Oryzias latipes: one gene and its partners. The protein of the gene in region 5 purifies or fractionates together with the protein of the main gene of each other region. This does not show direct contact. Links are inferred from orthologs where the notes say so. Each region holds a gene or a part of one and is shown on either strand. Other genes may lie near its edges.

The links.
Region 1: the proteins of copa (region 5) and copb1 fractionate together in Homo sapiens (co-fractionation; 6 studies listed by BioGRID and IntAct, with this or other methods). This does not show direct contact. The link is inferred for Oryzias latipes from reciprocal best matches to the Homo sapiens genes COPA and COPB1.
Region 2: the proteins of copa (region 5) and arcn1 fractionate together in Homo sapiens (co-fractionation; 4 studies listed by BioGRID and IntAct, with this or other methods). This does not show direct contact. The link is inferred for Oryzias latipes from reciprocal best matches to the Homo sapiens genes COPA and ARCN1.
Region 3: the proteins of copa (region 5) and nudcd1 purify together in Homo sapiens (co-immunoprecipitation; 3 studies listed by BioGRID and IntAct, with this or other methods). This does not show direct contact. The link is inferred for Oryzias latipes from reciprocal best matches to the Homo sapiens genes COPA and NUDCD1.
Region 4: the proteins of copa (region 5) and copz1 fractionate together in Homo sapiens (co-fractionation; 6 studies listed by BioGRID and IntAct, with this or other methods). This does not show direct contact. The link is inferred for Oryzias latipes from reciprocal best matches to the Homo sapiens genes COPA and COPZ1.

Annotation. Positions count from the first base shown.
Region 1 is NC_019861.2:19,372,488-19,375,442, reverse strand, and holds the end of copb1 (coatomer subunit beta), read right to left. Parts: coding exon 2,780-2,955; intron 2,551-2,779; coding exon 2,371-2,550; intron 2,035-2,370; coding exon 1,890-2,034; intron 1,788-1,889; coding exon 1,668-1,787; intron 1,586-1,667; coding exon 1,440-1,585; intron 1,318-1,439; coding exon 1,228-1,317; intron 1,113-1,227; coding exon 957-1,112; intron 794-956; coding exon 734-793; 3' UTR 505-733; downstream 1-504. UniProt on the Homo sapiens protein: The coatomer is a cytosolic protein complex that binds to dilysine motifs and reversibly associates with Golgi non-clathrin-coated vesicles, which further mediate biosynthetic protein transport from the ER, via the Golgi up to the trans Golgi network.
Region 2 is NC_019871.2:31,556,496-31,560,465, reverse strand, and holds the start of arcn1 (coatomer subunit delta), read left to right. Parts: upstream 1-1,160; 5' UTR 1,161-1,430; coding exon 1,431-1,433; intron 1,434-3,970. UniProt on the Homo sapiens protein: Component of the coatomer, a cytosolic protein complex that binds to dilysine motifs and reversibly associates with Golgi non-clathrin-coated vesicles, which further mediate biosynthetic protein transport from the ER, via the Golgi up to the trans Golgi network.
Region 3 is NC_019869.2:17,455,690-17,459,208, forward strand, and holds part of nudcd1 (nudC domain-containing protein 1), read left to right. Parts: intron 1-809; coding exon 810-995; intron 996-1,856; coding exon 1,857-2,040; intron 2,041-3,300; coding exon 3,301-3,489; intron 3,490-3,519.
Region 4 is NC_019865.2:12,850,752-12,854,839, forward strand, and holds the start of copz1 (coatomer subunit zeta-1), read left to right. Parts: upstream 1-1,277; 5' UTR 1,278-1,357; coding exon 1,358-1,375; intron 1,376-1,821; coding exon 1,822-1,890; intron 1,891-2,576; coding exon 2,577-2,658; intron 2,659-2,751; coding exon 2,752-2,843; intron 2,844-3,253; coding exon 3,254-3,309; intron 3,310-3,413; coding exon 3,414-3,491; intron 3,492-3,607; coding exon 3,608-3,659; intron 3,660-3,752; coding exon 3,753-3,791; intron 3,792-4,088. UniProt on the Homo sapiens protein: The coatomer is a cytosolic protein complex that binds to dilysine motifs and reversibly associates with Golgi non-clathrin-coated vesicles, which further mediate biosynthetic protein transport from the ER, via the Golgi up to the trans Golgi network.
Region 5 is NC_019875.2:3,225,393-3,227,980, reverse strand, and holds part of copa (coatomer subunit alpha), read left to right. Parts: intron 1-948; coding exon 949-1,032; intron 1,033-1,129; coding exon 1,130-1,230; intron 1,231-1,768; coding exon 1,769-1,915; intron 1,916-2,007; coding exon 2,008-2,148; intron 2,149-2,240; coding exon 2,241-2,423; intron 2,424-2,552; coding exon 2,553-2,588. UniProt on the Homo sapiens protein: The coatomer is a cytosolic protein complex that binds to dilysine motifs and reversibly associates with Golgi non-clathrin-coated vesicles, which further mediate biosynthetic protein transport from the ER, via the Golgi up to the trans Golgi network.

The DNA of each region.
Region 1 (2,955 bases), on a different chromosome or scaffold from region 5:
CCCAAACTGCAAGACAGCTGTTTATTTTTACGGTTTAAGGTCTGACCTGTAAGCAACACTTCAACCTCTATCTATCCCCCCTGGAGGGACAGATTTCCCAGATATTGTAAATGTATGACTGGGGTTGTGACCCTTCAGCTTGGCTGACTCCCAGAAATGTCCCTTTTCTCATAAATTATAAATAGAGCAAGTGGAACATTCACACCCGTGCCCACAGAAAGCCGTCGCTATCTCAGCAACAGTAAACTATGGAAAATATTTTGACTTTGTTTAAAAGAAAAGTGTCTGCTTTAGTTGGTTTAGACTGCAGACTCAAAAAAATAAAAAATATTCCAGTCAGTTTCACTGCAAGATATCACAGGAGGAATGTGAGGAATTCTAATTAGTGCCGGAAGATAAGGGGCGGATGCAGAGTCCCTCTGCTTCTAAAGGCCAAAACCACCTTTTGGCTAAATTACTAAAACCCTGCATTAAAGATAAAATGCAACTTTTCAGTAGAATGTTCGTACAAACTTTTAATAAAGGAGCAAAATTTACTGTAATATACATGTTTATTGAAAATCATACAGGACAAAGCAAAAAAAAAAAAGAAAAGAAAACAGAGGTGCAGCTGTCAATGGGAGGAGATTAGAGGAAAAAAAAGAAAGAAAGCAGAAGTGGCTGACCATAGTGATTTACTAATCTGCACAAATGAAAAGACTAAGATGACTGACACAAGAGAACACAAGCTGTTTTAGAGGTTTGCCTTCTTTTGAGAGAGATTGATCTTGTCACCCAGGCTCAGAGCCATCCCCTGTGGAACCAAGAAAGATGCATTAAAGCAAACCGTAACATGTCAATAAAACCACAACAAATACGATGGTTTTTGAAGTTTCACTTCATCGCTTATCTAGGTGAATACATCAACGTGCTTTTGAGAAGTGGTTTACTTTAGCGCTGCAACAGCTGCGACCCACCTGACTTTTGGCTCGGATGCGAATGTGTCCGGTGACCGGCGCCTCCGGCCCGAGGTGGATGGGCTTCTCGATGCTGACGTTAGCCAGAGCATCTTCTCCAAAGATGGAGCGAGCATAAAGGTTAGCAGCCATGAAGCCGCAGAAGCCAGAGAGCGCCTGGGTTTTACAGGGGAAATGAAGAACAAGATTAATCCTGTCATATAAACTGAAAAAACAATAACTCTCTGACTACTTTATATGATAAATTCTGAAACAAACAAACAATGCCAACCTTTTCAGGGGTCAAACACTTCATGTTTGTGGACTTGAGGATGTGCTGGAGGTACTCGTTCAGATCAACAATGTTGGTGTTCACGGTCACCTGAGATGATTAAAGATCCACACATATTCCATCAATTTCCAGAGGTTTTTGAATGTAAACAACGTTCTCTCAATTGATAAATCAATATATGCGGTCCCTGTCGTAAATAAACAAACAACAACCTTGTTTTCCCACTCAAACTCTGCCCACATCTGTCTGAACTCTGCATCGGTGCAGGATGCCGGCTGGATGTAGTCCATGATGTCGATGTGGATGTCGCTGAGAACCACACAGTTTCTGTCGCTGGCAGCTCCAGATACGTCATAGACTGTAAAGCAGGGAACAAAGGCATTAGATTAGATAACAGAAAGGGCAGGAAAGCGGAAAAAAAAGAAGAAAAAAAATCTCACCAATGTTGCCAAAAATGATGCCGTTCTCTGTAGAGGCCACTTTGACATTAGCCTTGATGTTTGCAAAATCGTGAGGAGCCAGAGTTAAAGGTGAAGGTTTTTCCACCAACTTGAGATCCCCTGCAGAGAAGAAAAGCTCATTTAAGGCGCACAAGCCAGTTAGAGATGCTATAAAAACTGAGAAGCATTAGCTCAGTGAAGCAGAAAGTAGAAAGAGCTAACCTAAAGTGGCCAGTTCCAGGGTGCAGTTCTGAAGAGTATCACTAGTCTGGTTGACCACCAGCACATCCAGAACAATGTCATACTGGTTGACATGGACATAAGCTTCAGCATACACTGGGTCAGAGAAGCCGGTCAGCTGGGTCACCTAATGTGGATTTAAAAAAAAAAAAACATTACTTACATGAAGATCGAATCAAATATAAATGTTTAAAGATGATGTGTTTGTTCTAGCATTCATTTTCTGGCAGGATTTCCTTCTTCCACCAGAAAGAACTTCTGTAGAAACAATTTAAACTTATTTGACATCCACATCACAAGCCAAAACTGAGTTTATTGTGTTTATCTGTTTTGACTAAACATCGTTACCTACCAAGTTTAATGCATAAAAGATTTCAAAATTAAAATATAAATTTTAAAAAAGCACTAAAACTGGGATGATCACAAAGTAAACTTTGTACTTTGGGATTTTTCTGCAGTGCACCTTGTTGAGTTTTGATGCCAGAGGGTCAGCAGCTTCTTTTCTCTGAGTGTTCCCCATAGCAGCCAGCAGGCTGAGCTGAAACTGATCCTCCTTGGAGCACATCTCATTTTTGGCTGTGAGCTGCATGAAGGAGATTGGATCGTCTGCCTGAACCGTCACATTCCGTTTCTCTGACTCTTTCTGTGGCAAAAAGAGAAAGAAAAACCACAAAATATGAGCCTTCTTTTCTCTGAAGTTATCAATTCAATTGAGTTATATGTTACACATCTAAAGACTAGAAACAAGGCCACAAATGTACTGAACTTTATTACCTGCTCATTATCCAGCTGTAAAGTCCAGATGTTTGCTCTGTTTTGTGTCAGTAATGATTTTTCTGAACAGAGAGGTGAGGACTGAGTGGACTGTTTACCTTCTGTGACAGCTTCTCTTCCTCCAATCTGACAGCCAGCATGTGTGACAGGGATTTGCGGCACTCCTTGTTGAAAATGTCATTCATGAGCGGCGAACACTCTGACAGAACCTTCAGGCAAAGCGAGATGCGGTCCACATCGTCGTCTGTGATTGGCTTCTTGGGCAGGGACGACT
Region 2 (3,970 bases), on a different chromosome or scaffold from region 5:
CTTTGAGTCCTTTTTTGTTTGCTATGCTGATGGACAGGCTGACAGACGAGGTAAGACAGGAATCTCCCTGGACAATGATGTTTGCGGATGACATTGTAATTTGCAGTGAGAGTAGAGAGCAGGTGGAGGAACAGCTAGAGAGGTGGAGGTTTGCTCTGGAAAGAAGAGGTATGAAGGTCAGTCGTAGTAAGACAGAATACATGTGTCTGAACGAGAGGGATCAAGGTAGAAGCGTTAGGTTACAGGGGACTGAGGTGAAGAAGGTGCAGGAGTTTAAGTACTTGGGGTCAACAGTTCAGTGTGATGGGGATTGTGGAAAAGAGGTGAAGAGGCGAGTGCAGGCAGGTTGGAGCGGTTGGAGGAAAGTGTCAGGAGTGTTGTGTGACAGAAGAGTGCCAGCAAGACTCAAAGGAAAGGTGTACAAGACAGTGGTGAGACCAGCTCTGCTCTATGGGTTAGAGACGGTAGCAGTGAGACAGAGACAAGAGGCTGAGATGGAGGTAGCAGAGATGAAGATGTTGAGGTTCTCCTTAGGAGTGACCAGGTTAGACAGGATAAGGAACGAGTACATCAGAGGGACGGCTCATGTTGCCTGTGTTAGCGACAAAGTCAGAGAAGCCAGACTGAGATGGTTTGGACATGTTCAGAGGAGGGATAGTGGATATATTGGTAGAAGGATGTTGGAGATGGAGCTGCCTGGCCGGAGGGCAAGAGGACGGCCAAAGAGGAGATATATGGATGTCTTAACAGAGGACATGAAGTTGGCTAACGTTAGGGTAGAAGATGTTCATGATAGAGTGAGGTGGAAAAGGATGATTCGCTGTGGCGACCCCTGATGGGAAAAGCCGAAAGAGAAAGAAGAATAGTAACAAAAAGAGCCAATGATTGAACCAAATCACCTCTTTTGTAATGAGAAAATATTATTATTGTGGTCTACTTCTGCAGGTATCATAAAGAAAGTACCTTAATGATGAAACGGGGCTCATGTTACACATTTCAATTCTGAAAATTGTCATGTGTATGTAATTTGTAAAGTAGAACAGTTTGGATGTAAATTCACAGCACTGGTCGGAGGTTCCTGATGGGGCTCGTGCCGTTGTTCCCTCTCACTTCTTAGTGAGTAGTGGGTGCGACGCAAAACGCTCGCGGCACGCGTCTAAAACCGGATCAATCTATGGAGAAACTGGGCGCTCGAGCGTTTCCACTCGACAGCTCCAGGTTTTGGTGTCCGCGTGACACGTCACTGTTTTCCACGCAAGCTGATCAGGGCCGCGCGCTCCTTCCGGTGGAGACGTGGCTCTGCGGCGGCCATATTGACGCTAGCAGTCCGTGGAAGCCGCGCGCGTTGTCAGAGACTACAGTCCCTGGACCAAACTCAGAACCGGAACCACGAGAAACGGACTCCAGCGGAATCCCGAAGACAGACCACAATGGTAGGTGTCTGTCCAGAACCGGACCCCCCCTGCTCCAGTACGCGTCGGGCCTGCAACTAGCATAACATTGGCTAGCAGCTAGCTGCTGCGCTTCGGAACGGAACTAAAGTCAGGAGACGCAACTGTCCTCTGGTTTGGTTAAGTTTGGGTCCAGCACAGACTAATAGTGCAGTTGGACACGTTGTCCATTTAATTAGCTAGTACAGATAGCGAGGCTAGTGTTGTCAAGCCGGACTGGACCGACCGAACTTGGTTGATGACGGGTCGTGTTCGGCCCGGGAGTAATTCTGTTCTGTGTTGGCTGTGAATGTCATTAAAGTTCTGTTAGTGTGACCCTAGCTGCTGTTTGTCAGTACCAGAGTTCGTATAAGATTTTAGAAGAACAAGAACAGTTCGGTCCTGCTCTGTGTGGCAGCTGCCAAAGACACACAACAGTGTCATGATTTGGCACACCGTCCATGTTCGAGGTTCCGAAGGGTCCAGTGGGGAACTAATGGCTCCTGTCATCAGGTCAGAGTTCTGAGGTTTGAAGATCTGGAGTTTTCTGTGATTCACCCAAAATATGCCCCAATTCATCTGGGAAGCATTCCAGACGCTAAGGTTTGTGGGTAAATGAATCGCATGAACTGGAGTGCACTCTGGGTACGTTCATTTATTTATTTGAGGTAAAACGTCAATATTTTTTTCATAAACGTCAATAATACCGCATAAACAATTTAAGTTGAATTTATTTGTAAATATAAACGACTCAGAACACAGCAGTAAACAAGACTAAATACTTCATAATGAGCATGAGAAAAACAACATGCACTCTGTCTATCAGAAGTGTACAGCTCGGTTTCACCTAGAGGTTCTGTCAACTGGCACCTGGTGATCACCTTGTGGTCGCCGTGGTGACCATTAGGCCTGTTAACTTGTTTCCCCGAATGTCCCTTGTCTGCCTAAGCTGAAGTGAAAATATGACAGACTAAAAATGAGGATGTTGCCAAACTAAATGTCTCTCCGATGGAAGGGAGTCATTCACAAATGAATGAAACTACATGTTCATTCATTCCAACCCCATTATTTTCAAAGACCCACTCCAATGGAAATTGTATTTGTGGTGTCATTAACTTGTTCTTGTAGCACTTATAATGAAGGACATGTATCAAGAAAACTAAGCTGAAAATTTCATTTCTGAGTAATTCTTTATTCAAATCGTTGTGAATCAGAATGGGGGGGGGGGGGGGGGTGTGATGATGTGTTACATACAAACTACAATCATTAGGCCACAGGCTCCCTGCTCCAGTCCAGTCTGATGCATCCACCTGGGATCTGGATCCAAACTGAAGGGCTGGATGCCGTCGAATTAAAAACATTTTCTTTTTTTCTCTACCAAACAAATGCAACCACAAGAAGGCACAGTCCAGTGCTTTCATGTGCCTGTCAAAGGTGTGTCAGGAAGGGCATCTGGCATAAAACCAAAGCAAAATCAAATATGAGAATCTCAATCAAATTTTCCTTTTGTGTGGTTTAATTAACTCTTTAACACTGGAGCTTTAGCTTTAGTGTTGACATTCTTTCGACTACGGTAACTCTTCAACAGTTGATGCAATTAACGTAATTCCAGTGGATTCTGCAGCGGAGAAAAGCATCTTTATCTTGACATCCAACACTTACAGTAGTGATATGCTTGCCCAATCAACAAGTCACCCAATCAACACTTCTGTCATGCAGTAAAGCAGCTTTGCACCCAGATTGATGCAAAGCTGGTCTTCTCTGCTTCAGAATCAGCTGATTAACTGATCGCCAAACATCAAAGATTTACCATCAAAAAGAGAGAATTGTTTAGACGTCACTGGAGACATCTCTGGTGTTAATGACTTGTTACTGGTACTGTTGACCTAAAGCGGGGGTGTCAAACTCATTTTCACCGAGGGCCTCATCAGTATAGAGGCTGTCCTCAAAGGGCCAGATAAAACTTATACATGTAACTAAAAATAAACGTAACTGCTCCTTGATGTTAAATAACTCATTTATTTATTTGTTTTAACTTTTTGAAGTGACCATTACAGTTGCATAGAAAACATGTTTGCTTGTTACTCTAGCATAAATCCTTTGAAATGTTGTCCTCTTATTAAAACCCACGATCAAACTGTCCACGTGAATAAATAACATCAAACTGAGCTAGAAAGAACACGTATGACACGTGTAACATTTTACAATAAAAGGCTGCACACAGCCGTGCATCCAACTGATGGTTTGATGACAACAATTTGTCTGCATACACACATAAGACCTGCAAACATTGAATAATGACAACTGCAGCTACACATTAATAATATGTAATCAACTAAAAAAAATATTATAAGAGATTAAAAACGTTTATGCTGTGGCAGGCCACATAAAATATGGCGGGCCACATTTGGCCCCCGGGCCTTGAGTTTGACACATGTGACCTAGAGGGTTCATGTGCACTAATGCTGGTCAAAGGAGGAGAGGAAGGAGGTGTGGCAAAACTGGTACCTTGCTTTTTCTCTCTTTGGCAAAAAGAGCAA
Region 3 (3,519 bases), on a different chromosome or scaffold from region 5:
TTATCATAACATCTTTCGTTAGTTTTCAAACTGGCCTGTTAACGTTTTAGTAGTTTGTTTCCTCTTTGCCATTGAACCGTAATGCGACTCATCGCCAAAAAATAAAGGCATAGAATATTATTTTCTGGACCAGACATTGTCACTTATCATAATCAGTTTTGGAATGATACATGTTTGCTTCTTTCTGCTTCTTTGTCAATAATTATATTGACAAATATAATGGCTATCTTCCAATTCCCTCCCCACTCCCTAAAGAAAACGTATATAGTGCAGGACTACCGTATCTAGTGCCCTGTATTTTCAAAGCAATTCGGACACCATGCTCACTAGCTTTTTTATTTTTTGTTTTTTTTTAATGGCAAATATGACATCCCACATTGCACAAAGTCAAAATCTAATTAATACAAACATTTTATGACAACTGAGTCCACTGAGTTCTGAAGATGAAAATGTTGCACTTTGAGCTGTAATGCATGAAAGGAAATCTCGATTGATTTGTTTGATAAAAAAATGACCTTGAAACACATTTTGTAGTGCACTCATTCGGACATAGTCACTGACAAAACTAGATTGCTTTGAAATACATTTTTATCGTTTTTAATAACTGTCATTGGATTTCAAAAAGAAAAATAAGTCTGTCAAAATGACCGTTCACTTTTCTTTGAAATGGAAAACAACTGACTAAAATATGTTTCTACATTCTATGGAAAGAAAACTTTGAAAATCTATGAAGTATTTTCCTTAAGACTTTGTCAAACATTACGTTTTTTGTGTGTGTGTGTATGTGTGTGGATGTGAAATGATTCCAGGACTCAGCACTGGGGAAGCCAAAAGAGGTGTACCGCATCAGTGAGGAACCTGGTCTTTGTGAAGACCACCTGTGCTCCTCCCTCAGCCTCACCTCCTCCACCTGGGCTGCTCTTTCTGATGGTAGAGGCCACCTGTACCTTCTTCGCACCGGCAAGAGGGGAGATGGCTCGCATGTGAAGTGGGAAGTGAGTAAAGCTGCAGGATGTAGATAAAGATATGCCTTATTACCCCGTGATTCAGACCTGACTTTAATATGTTGGTTCTGGTTAATAAAACATTGTGAAGTCTTCTTAATGAGACTGAAATGGCTGCACTTGAATGCATCATCAGCACCTCATGTTAGGAAGAAAATGAGTGAATGGTTTCAAATGTTTATACACTTAACCACATTGTCACGCAGAATACGGACATACTTTTGGACTTGAATGCATCACTTTAAAGAGGAAAAATAATAATAATGCCTTAGGTCTACTGTTCAGACAACCAGAGCATTGACAGAGATTCCTAAATGATAAGAAGGTGGTGAGGGTGTGCTGCAATGACAGTCTTCTCCAGAATGACTCAAAATAAAGAACAAGTATTACAGTAAACAGTCCTGTTTTCTGTGTCCATCTGGAATTTTGCTTTAAAAGACTGAACTTTCTTTTCTGTCTTTGAAAGATATCTGGAGTACTAGTTGTCCAGGCTTTCAAGTTTTTTTCTATTCCTATTAGGATGTGTTCTTTTGTACCTGGCTATGTTCAGCGAAATTGAATGTTTTCCTGTTGAGTATCCAATCTTACAAAGAGCCTCATCTGAAATCCTACAAAGATGCTCAGATACAGAAAATCTGAAAGTGTCCATGAAAACATTTAAAGCCCATCAGAAAACCATGAGAACATTTGACAACACTTGGATGCACGCTGAGGGAGTGATAAAGAGCTGACGGATATCAAAATTAATGAAGATTTATTGAAAATGTTTGCATGAATTCATCTCCAGCAAAGAGATTTTGCTCTTTAACTACAGCTTGTTTGTCAAATCCACCCCTGAACGTGTTTCCACAGCCGCTGTTTGTTGAGGACACCGGCGAGCCTTTCACCATCCTCCACAGCGTCTCTCACGTCCAGGCTGGCGTTCATACTGTGGAGGTTCTGCTGCTCCGCATCCAGAAAGACTCACAGGAAGCCACAGGAAGTGGATATTATGTGTCACTTGAATGGATCACAGTCAGCAGCACTGCAGCACATGGTGGGTGATGCACTGATCTGAATGTCAAGTAAGATGTGAATGATGAATTTACCGTAGTTTTATTAGAAAACTTATTTCCGTATTCAGAATTAGATAAGATGTGATTTCAAAGAATCAGATGATATTAGAACTGTTTGGAGCAAATATCAGCAGTCTCAATAAGATTCTTGACATTTGATGAAATGGAAGAAGTTATTTCTTCATTCAGTTGGTGGAACATTTGTCCCACTCATAGAGACAGCAACAAACTCAATCCAATGAAAGTAAAAGGACCCTCATTTTAAGAAAAAATGTTTTACAAGAAAAGTAACCTTATCAAGATAGTTTTTCAATAGCAAAATAATCTTGGTTTGAGAAAACAAGCCTTAGTCACTAGAATTCTTTTTATCAAAATAAGAATTCTCGATAGAACGAGGTTTCTACTTTTTTGGTTTTTAAATAATCTGCCAATTGGGTGAGAATTTTTGATTTATTTCTTGAAGCCTTCTTTCCGATTTAAAAACAAAAGTCTAAATGTTAACATTCTTAGTTCACAATTTAATCACGTCAAACAGCAAATCACAAAAAAGTCCTAGCAGTACATAGTTTTAACCTTGATTGACATTTGTTTTTTTTTTTACCTTTACCTTTACCTTGATGCAATTTTTGTTCTTAACATGATTTTTTAACAAAGTCCTGGTTGTCCATACTAAAATATATCCAGTTCAGTCTCAAAGCAAATGCTTTCTGCAAAACACAATCCTGCAATTAAATTATGAATTTATTAAGGTAAAAAACGCAGCAGCTGCTTTTTCATTTCTATACAGAATTTTTCATTGACCTAAAGATGCAGCCCATGAATTTCTGTGTGCTGCATCTTCAAATTTGTATTTGTTTTCGTTAAGAAAATTAACTGCATCTTAAAAAATTCCTTTTTATTATGTTTTTGGAAATATACCATTTATATATAAATACTTTTTCAAATTAGAAGATGGTAAAATCCAGTTTTCTTCAGGACTTCTAATGAGATTTGCAGCAATCAGTCAGTTAGCTTCTTTGCAGCTTTGGAAGCACAGCAGATGGAAGGAGTTTTAACATTTTACATCCAAGTCTCCATTATTTTGATGTTTAATCTAAATAAAAGCTGCAACTTGCTCATGTCAAGAGCAGAAAATGATTCTCGATCAATATTTAGTTTGACTTTCTCCTAATGCGTTTCTGGCTTACTTAAACGGAAGGTGAGATTGCTTTGTCACAGCATTCTTTGGTTTCCAAACGCAGGTCAGGAGAAAAAATACGAGGTGAGCAAGAGAAGGCTCCTGCGGGGGAAGTCCGTGCCTCACTATGCTGCTGTGGAGCCTCAAGGGAAGGGCCTAATGGTGGCTTCAGAGAAGCCATTTGTCTTCACGCATGTGGACGGTCGTCCCGTAGAGCTGCCCGAGCCGCAGGCCATGGAGGCCGACAAGATAGGTGGGTTTAAGGGACCGATTCGGGAAGCGT
Region 4 (4,088 bases), on a different chromosome or scaffold from region 5:
CTTGCCTTACTCGTTGGAGGTATTTAGCTGTTGCAGCTTTCCTTGTTGCCTGCACCAGGTTGCCATTTGCCTGCGGAATTCCAAGGTACTTGTAGCTGTCCTCAATGTCTGCCATTGTTCCTTCTGGGAGTGAGACCCCTATGTGTGGACTACCTTGCCTCTCTTTGTCACCATCCGGCTGCATTTTTTCAAGCCCGAATGACATCCCAATGTCAGTACTGTACATCCTGGTGGTGTAGATCAGGGAGTCAATGTCACACTCACTCTTAGTATATGGCTTTAAGTCATCCATGAGGAGGTGACTGATGTTGGCCCCATTTCTGAGTCAGTATCCATAGCCAGTCTTGTTGATTATTTGGCTGAGGGGTTCAGCCAAATAATCAACGTCTATCTCTATCTACTCTCTCGAAATGGACTAGATATATATGGACAAGCAGTAGTGGTGCATAGGGGTAAAGATAAACAACATTTATGAGAGAACAAACTATTTTATACTTTAAAATACAATAAAACTAGTATAATATCTTTGTAATGGCAAGGTACATTTTTAATATCAGTTATCATGATAGCCCGACCCAATAGGAAAATAACAGCATACACATAATGCATGCTTTTTTAAAAGAAATTCTAGACACTATTTGAGGTCTTGTGTTGCTAGAAAAAAAAATCAAGCAAGGTAAACTGTCCCCTTCATTTTTTTTTAACTTAAATGTTTCAAGATCTGAAAATTCCAGAATTAGCATATTAGGTATTATACCCCCCCCCATTCCATAAATCTAAAAGTCAATGTAAATAATGAATGAATGAATGAATGCTATTACTACTTTAGTACAGTGCTTTTAGGCTTTTTGTCTAGAGTTCAATTTACTTTTATAAATTGCCAACCAATGGCTTTCTAGTCTCATAAAAGTGTGTTAAAAAAGGAGAAGAAAAAAACGAAAGGCAACCCCCCCCCCCCCCCCAAAAAAAAAATAAGCTTTAGGAAATAGTTTGAAAGATTTTGACATCATTAGTTGCTCATCTTTTATTTGCCATTTGAAAGTGGCTATTTTCTTTGCTAATATAGATTTAAATTTAAGGTTTGCTGGATAATGGTAAACAAATCACTCGGATAACAAAACAAAAAACATTGTGGTTCAGATGTGATCGAACCTGTGCTATTAATTTTATGTACTTAAAATAACAAATCATAATTGATCAATTGCTGGCTTAAGGAAAATGCAAAGTCAATGTTGTAAATAATTTCTGTAAAGACCCCGAGTGGAATTGAACTTTGCGTTTGCGCGTGACGTAAAATTCCTCAACTCTACGTATTACGTAAGTTAGAGCTGTGCTAGCCTGCTGTTAGCTGGTGAAGATGGATTCTCCCATACTGGTACGACTGTGTTTAAGTTTCCTCTTCAAATATAGTGTCGTTTAAAAAAATGAAAGACTATTATCCACAGAGAACTATTTATTGAAAGGCGGGTAAGGGTGTGGTTTACTGTACAGCGTTATCCGGTCGTCTAACTACCGTAAGAGTTGGCTAACGAGCTAGCTAGACCCTGCAAAGTTAGCCTTATGTGCCACTTTCTTTTCTGATGATGTGGAAGTGTCCCGTCTTCCTGGTCACACTGGCTAAAAATGAAGCACTACTTCGAATATTGTTTTCCACTATTTTGTGATCGTTACAGTTAGTCCCATTTGTCACAATGTTTGTTCTGCCATTCTGTTAGACATTTTTCGTCGTTCGCGTCCCGATTCGATTGTAGCATATGTTAACTTAATGTTTATATAAATTGAATGAACATAAAACGTAGGTGATTCTTGTTGTCATTCCAGGAACCATCCTTGTATACAGTCAAAGCGGTTCTCATTCTGGATAATGACGGAGAAAGACTTTATGCCAAGGTGTGTGTTTATTTATTTATCTGTTAAATAAAAGATTATGTCATATAATACATGACATAAAAACAAAGATAGTTTGTGTTTGTAGGTCAGTTATCCAAATGCTAGATCAATGAAAAACAAGAGATGAAGTGTGGGTAGTTGGAAACATGATGCTGGAAACACTGAATAAACCTTAGACCACCTGAAGAGGCATCTTAATTAGTCAGAATTCACTCAAATGTCCTTTATTATGTGAGGTATTTATATTAAAAGTTGTTTTTCCTTGAAAAAATATGTTTCATTGTCAATTTTAATAAACCGTGTAATTGTCAATTAGTAACATTCAAAGTGCATTTCCTATAAAGTTGTCTTCAAATAATCAGGAAAACATATGCCTTCCTAAATACTAAATATATTTAAGCTGTACTATAAGTTGTTTAATGCATTTGCAAGTTCAAGTCAATCCAAATTGCTAAATTAGTAGCTTAGCTTAGTGGGGAAACGGCATTTTCTGATCAGGTTTTACCATTGCCCACGTCTTTTAATTATTTTACTTATATATGTAGAAATTTATTGATTACTATCTAGTCATTAATATGGTTTGATCGGATACAATAAATTGTGTATTTATTAAAAACCTACATTTTGTTTACTGATGTAGAGATAGTTTTTTTTCAGAATCTTTTGTAATGCGATTGTATTTTCAGTATTACGATGACACGTATCCAACGGTGAAGGAACAGAAAGCGTTTGAGAAAAACATATTCAACAAGACGCACAGGACGGACAGTACGTGATGTTTTACAATCAGTAAATAAAGACTTAGCATGATGCTGTTTAAACACAAAAAGTTTATTTTGTTTTTCTTTTCTGTCCACTCAGGTGAAATAGCTTTGCTGGAGGGCCTGACTGTTGTGTACAAGAGCAATATAGACCTCTTCTTTTATGTGATCGGGAGTTCACATGAAAATGAGGTAATTGTTTTAGTTGACATTAAAACATAAAATTGACATTTAATGATTTTTAAATATTATAATAATACAGCTTCATATTCAAATACGTTTTAAGAAACCAACCTAAGTGTGAATACATATTTCATTTACACTGGTAAATGTGTTTTCTACTGTGATCAATACTGCTGATTTTTTGTTATTTCAAGCTTTTGTTTTTAAAATATTATTTTGGGTAGATTTTAATATGACACATTTTTAGAACGTGGATTTCTGCCGTTTCTTAAGCTCGTCTACTTGGAACTAAACTAGTTCTCCAAATTCACAAGTTCAAACTTAGTTTATGTTTTTAATGTTTACTTTTCATACGTTGTCTTTGTTTCAGCTTTTTATCTTGAACGTTTTAAATATGTCTTTGTGTTTCATTTCAACAGCTGATGCTTATGGCTGTTTTAAATTGCCTCTTCGATTCCTTGAGTCAGATGTTGAGGTATGCATTTGTCTGCAAATATTTATAGCACCTTAAATGGTTTAAAAACGTTTCTAATATTCAAAGAGTTTCAGCTCTAAGTTTATTTCTTCATAACTTTTTAGGAAAAATGTTGAAAAGAGAGCCTTGCTGGAGAATATGGAAGGACTCTTCTTGGCTGTGGATGAGATCGTAGACGGAGGGTAAGAAATGAGAAGCATAAAGCGTCTTGAAATGTGTTCTTTAGGGGAAAAAAAAATCATACGTTACTGTGTCTTCATTTTGTTTCGTAATCGTTACTATGACTCCTCACTTTCAGAGTAATCTTGGAGAGTGACCCACAGCAGGTTGTGCATCGTGTAGCCCTCAGAGTAAGCTCCGCTCCGCTCCTCTTCTCTAAAATATCTCCATTTGATTGGACAGTAAATGTGCGAGCTGTAAATACAATGCATTTGTTCTTGCAGGGAGATGATGTACCTTTGACAGAGCAGACAGTCACCCAGGTGAGGACAACATCCCTACTTTACCCCTCACTCTGCTGTGGAGTTTAAAGATCTATTGAGTGTTTAAAGTCATTACTTTGAAGTTTGAATATACAAGGGTACTGTTATTGTCATTTTCTTTTTCTGTATGATTACTTGCCTCCAGGCTGACATATTTTGTATCGTCACATATGCATAAGTGTGCAAATGATCACTGATTATTCAGTGGTAAGGTGGTAGCTAGCCAATAATGGCTTCTGCCATTTAGTGTCTAGATGAGTCTGTGTGTGTGTGGGTGTGTGTGTGTGTGTGTGTGTG
Region 5 (2,588 bases):
GTCTAACCTTTTTCGGGCCACGGACCGCTTTTAATGAAGTAACAAATTTTTTTTCAAATGAAAATGCTGCTACAGGAAATTTAGTTAAAAAAAATCCAAAAACATTTAAAAAATGTAGAGACGACAAAGATTCAATAAAACAAAGTTGTAGAAGTTTGATTTGTAAGAAAATTCAATAAAAGCAACTTTACAGTTTTGTTCATAGAACACAATTACTATAACACTGAGAACTCAACACAGACTCAGTTCATCCTTCAGGGCAGAAGATTTGTCATATTTTGTTTTTACATAAATCCTGATTATCTGTATTTTAGTTTTTTACCACAGAGGAACATTTTCTGTTTCTGAACAGTGCCTGCCTTTATTCACCAATGGAAACTTCATAAATGTCCTTTTCACAAGTTTAAACAAATCAATCTTCATTCTCTGTATAATGTTTGCAGCTGGTTTAAACTTAAACTTGATGAAGATTTTAACTTTAACATCAAAGTGGATTCTAACAACCAGACGCTAGCTTTAGCCGCGTTTGACTTTAAAGGTGTGATGGATAAATGAAGCAAAATAAAATGACACCACTGTTTTCTAAATATAATCATAAACCTGAATCCACGTGTAATTGTTTGGTTTTCATTAGCTTTTTAACTTTGGGCTGCTAACTTTGCAGTCTGAGCAGCTGCTTAAAGTCACATGACGTGTCAGGACAGACAGATGTGGCGAACAGCATCCAGTCGTTCTGTCGGTATCGGAAAATAAACTAAATGGAAATAATTTAAGTTGGTGTGTGCATTTTTTCTGTCTTTGACCCGGTAAAGTATGCTAGACTCAAACTGATGTGATTTTGAACAAGCTTTATATCATCTTGTTTAGATGAATAGTAGCGCTGTGTTTTTATCATTTCTAGATTTCTGTCATGTTTACCTTTTTGTGTTCCTTTTGACACGGACAAAGGAGGCCAGATGGCTGCAGATCTGGACATGGAGGCTGCTGGTGGTGAGGGCTGGGGAGACGATGCTGAGCTTAACATGGATGAAGGTTTGTTCAGACCGAAACCAGCAATGTTTCCTCAGTCGTTCTATTTTAACCCCAAAAACATTCTTAAATTATGAAAAAACTTTCCATCTGTTTGCAGATGGTTTCATGGATGCTCCTGAAGGATTAGATGAGGGAATGGTCAAAGAGGAGGGTGGAGGCTGGGATATTGATGAAGAGGTGGAGCTTCCTCCTGAGCTGGTGAGCAGATGTGCATCATCATCTAGAAGAGCTAACATCAGACTGAAGAAGGAGTCATATTCCCACCTCTGTGACTTCATGTTAAACTGTTCACACAGCAAATTGGCCTCCTCTGTTTAGACACACAGCCCATTCGCTGCTGGACACAAAAATGTGTTCAGACACTAGACTGCATTTGGGAGAAACTCCTATCAGTATCCTCAATTCTCATTGACAGTATATTTTATTTACAATGCACGGAAGACATGGAGGATGTTTAGAGATCAGGTTTATCTATTATTTACTTATTATGCAGAGCTCTATAAAAGCGCCAGTAATCACGTCTCCATGTCTGGCTTTCTGATTGGTTTATGCAAAGTCTTAGGCAGTTATTTGAACTGGTTTTGCTGGCCGCTGCGCCGTAGAACCTCTGATCACATCTGTACATTGATTTTAACATTGAAAGTGGCCACGTGAATCGTCTCAGTATGAACGCAGATTTCACTCGTACTTTTTTGTTGAGCTTTTTTGTTTTGTTTTTTTATTTTCCCACCAACAGGATCTTCCGTCTGGAGCAGGTGGTGGAGTTGAGGACGGCTTCTTCGTTCCACCCACCAAAGGAATGGCTCCAACCCAGATGTGGTGCAACAACTCCCAGCTGCCTGTGGACCACATTTTGGCGGGCTCCTTTGAGACCGCCATGAGAGTACGATCACATCATTCATCATTTTTTATGACAGCTATGTAGAAAAAATGTCTGTTTTACATCTTACACACTAAATATCCTCCCTTCAACAGCTCCTCCACGACCAGGTTGGGGTTGTGAACTTCGACCCCTACAAGCCTTTGTTCATGCAGACTCTGTCCAGAGCCCGCACCTGTTACCTGGGGCTGCCATCGCTGCCCTGCCTGCGTGGTCATCCTCAGAGAAATTGGAAGGTGCAGATTTATCCTCATCCAAATTCTCCATGCAGCTTTTCAGAACCTAATGATAATAACAGGTCTGCATCACATCCGCTGCATTCCTGCAGGATTGTGGGGCAAAGCAAGGGTTGCCCGCCGTGGGACTCCGTCTGTCTGATCTCATCGCTCGCCTGCAGCAGTGCTACCAGCTGACCACTGCTGGGAGGTTTGAGGAGGCCGTGGAGCGCTTCAGAGCCATCCTTCTCTCTGTGCCGCTGCTGGTGGTTGATAACAAGCAGGAGATAACAGAGGTGACCCACACGCTGTGCTTAGTCTTCATGATTTCACAGATCTGAAGACATCTGTTGGGACAGGACATTTTTACATACAAACAAATCTCTAGATAATTGTAAACTTGTTCTGTTTTGACCATGTTTCAGGCTCAGCAGCTGATAACAATTTGCAAAGAATACATA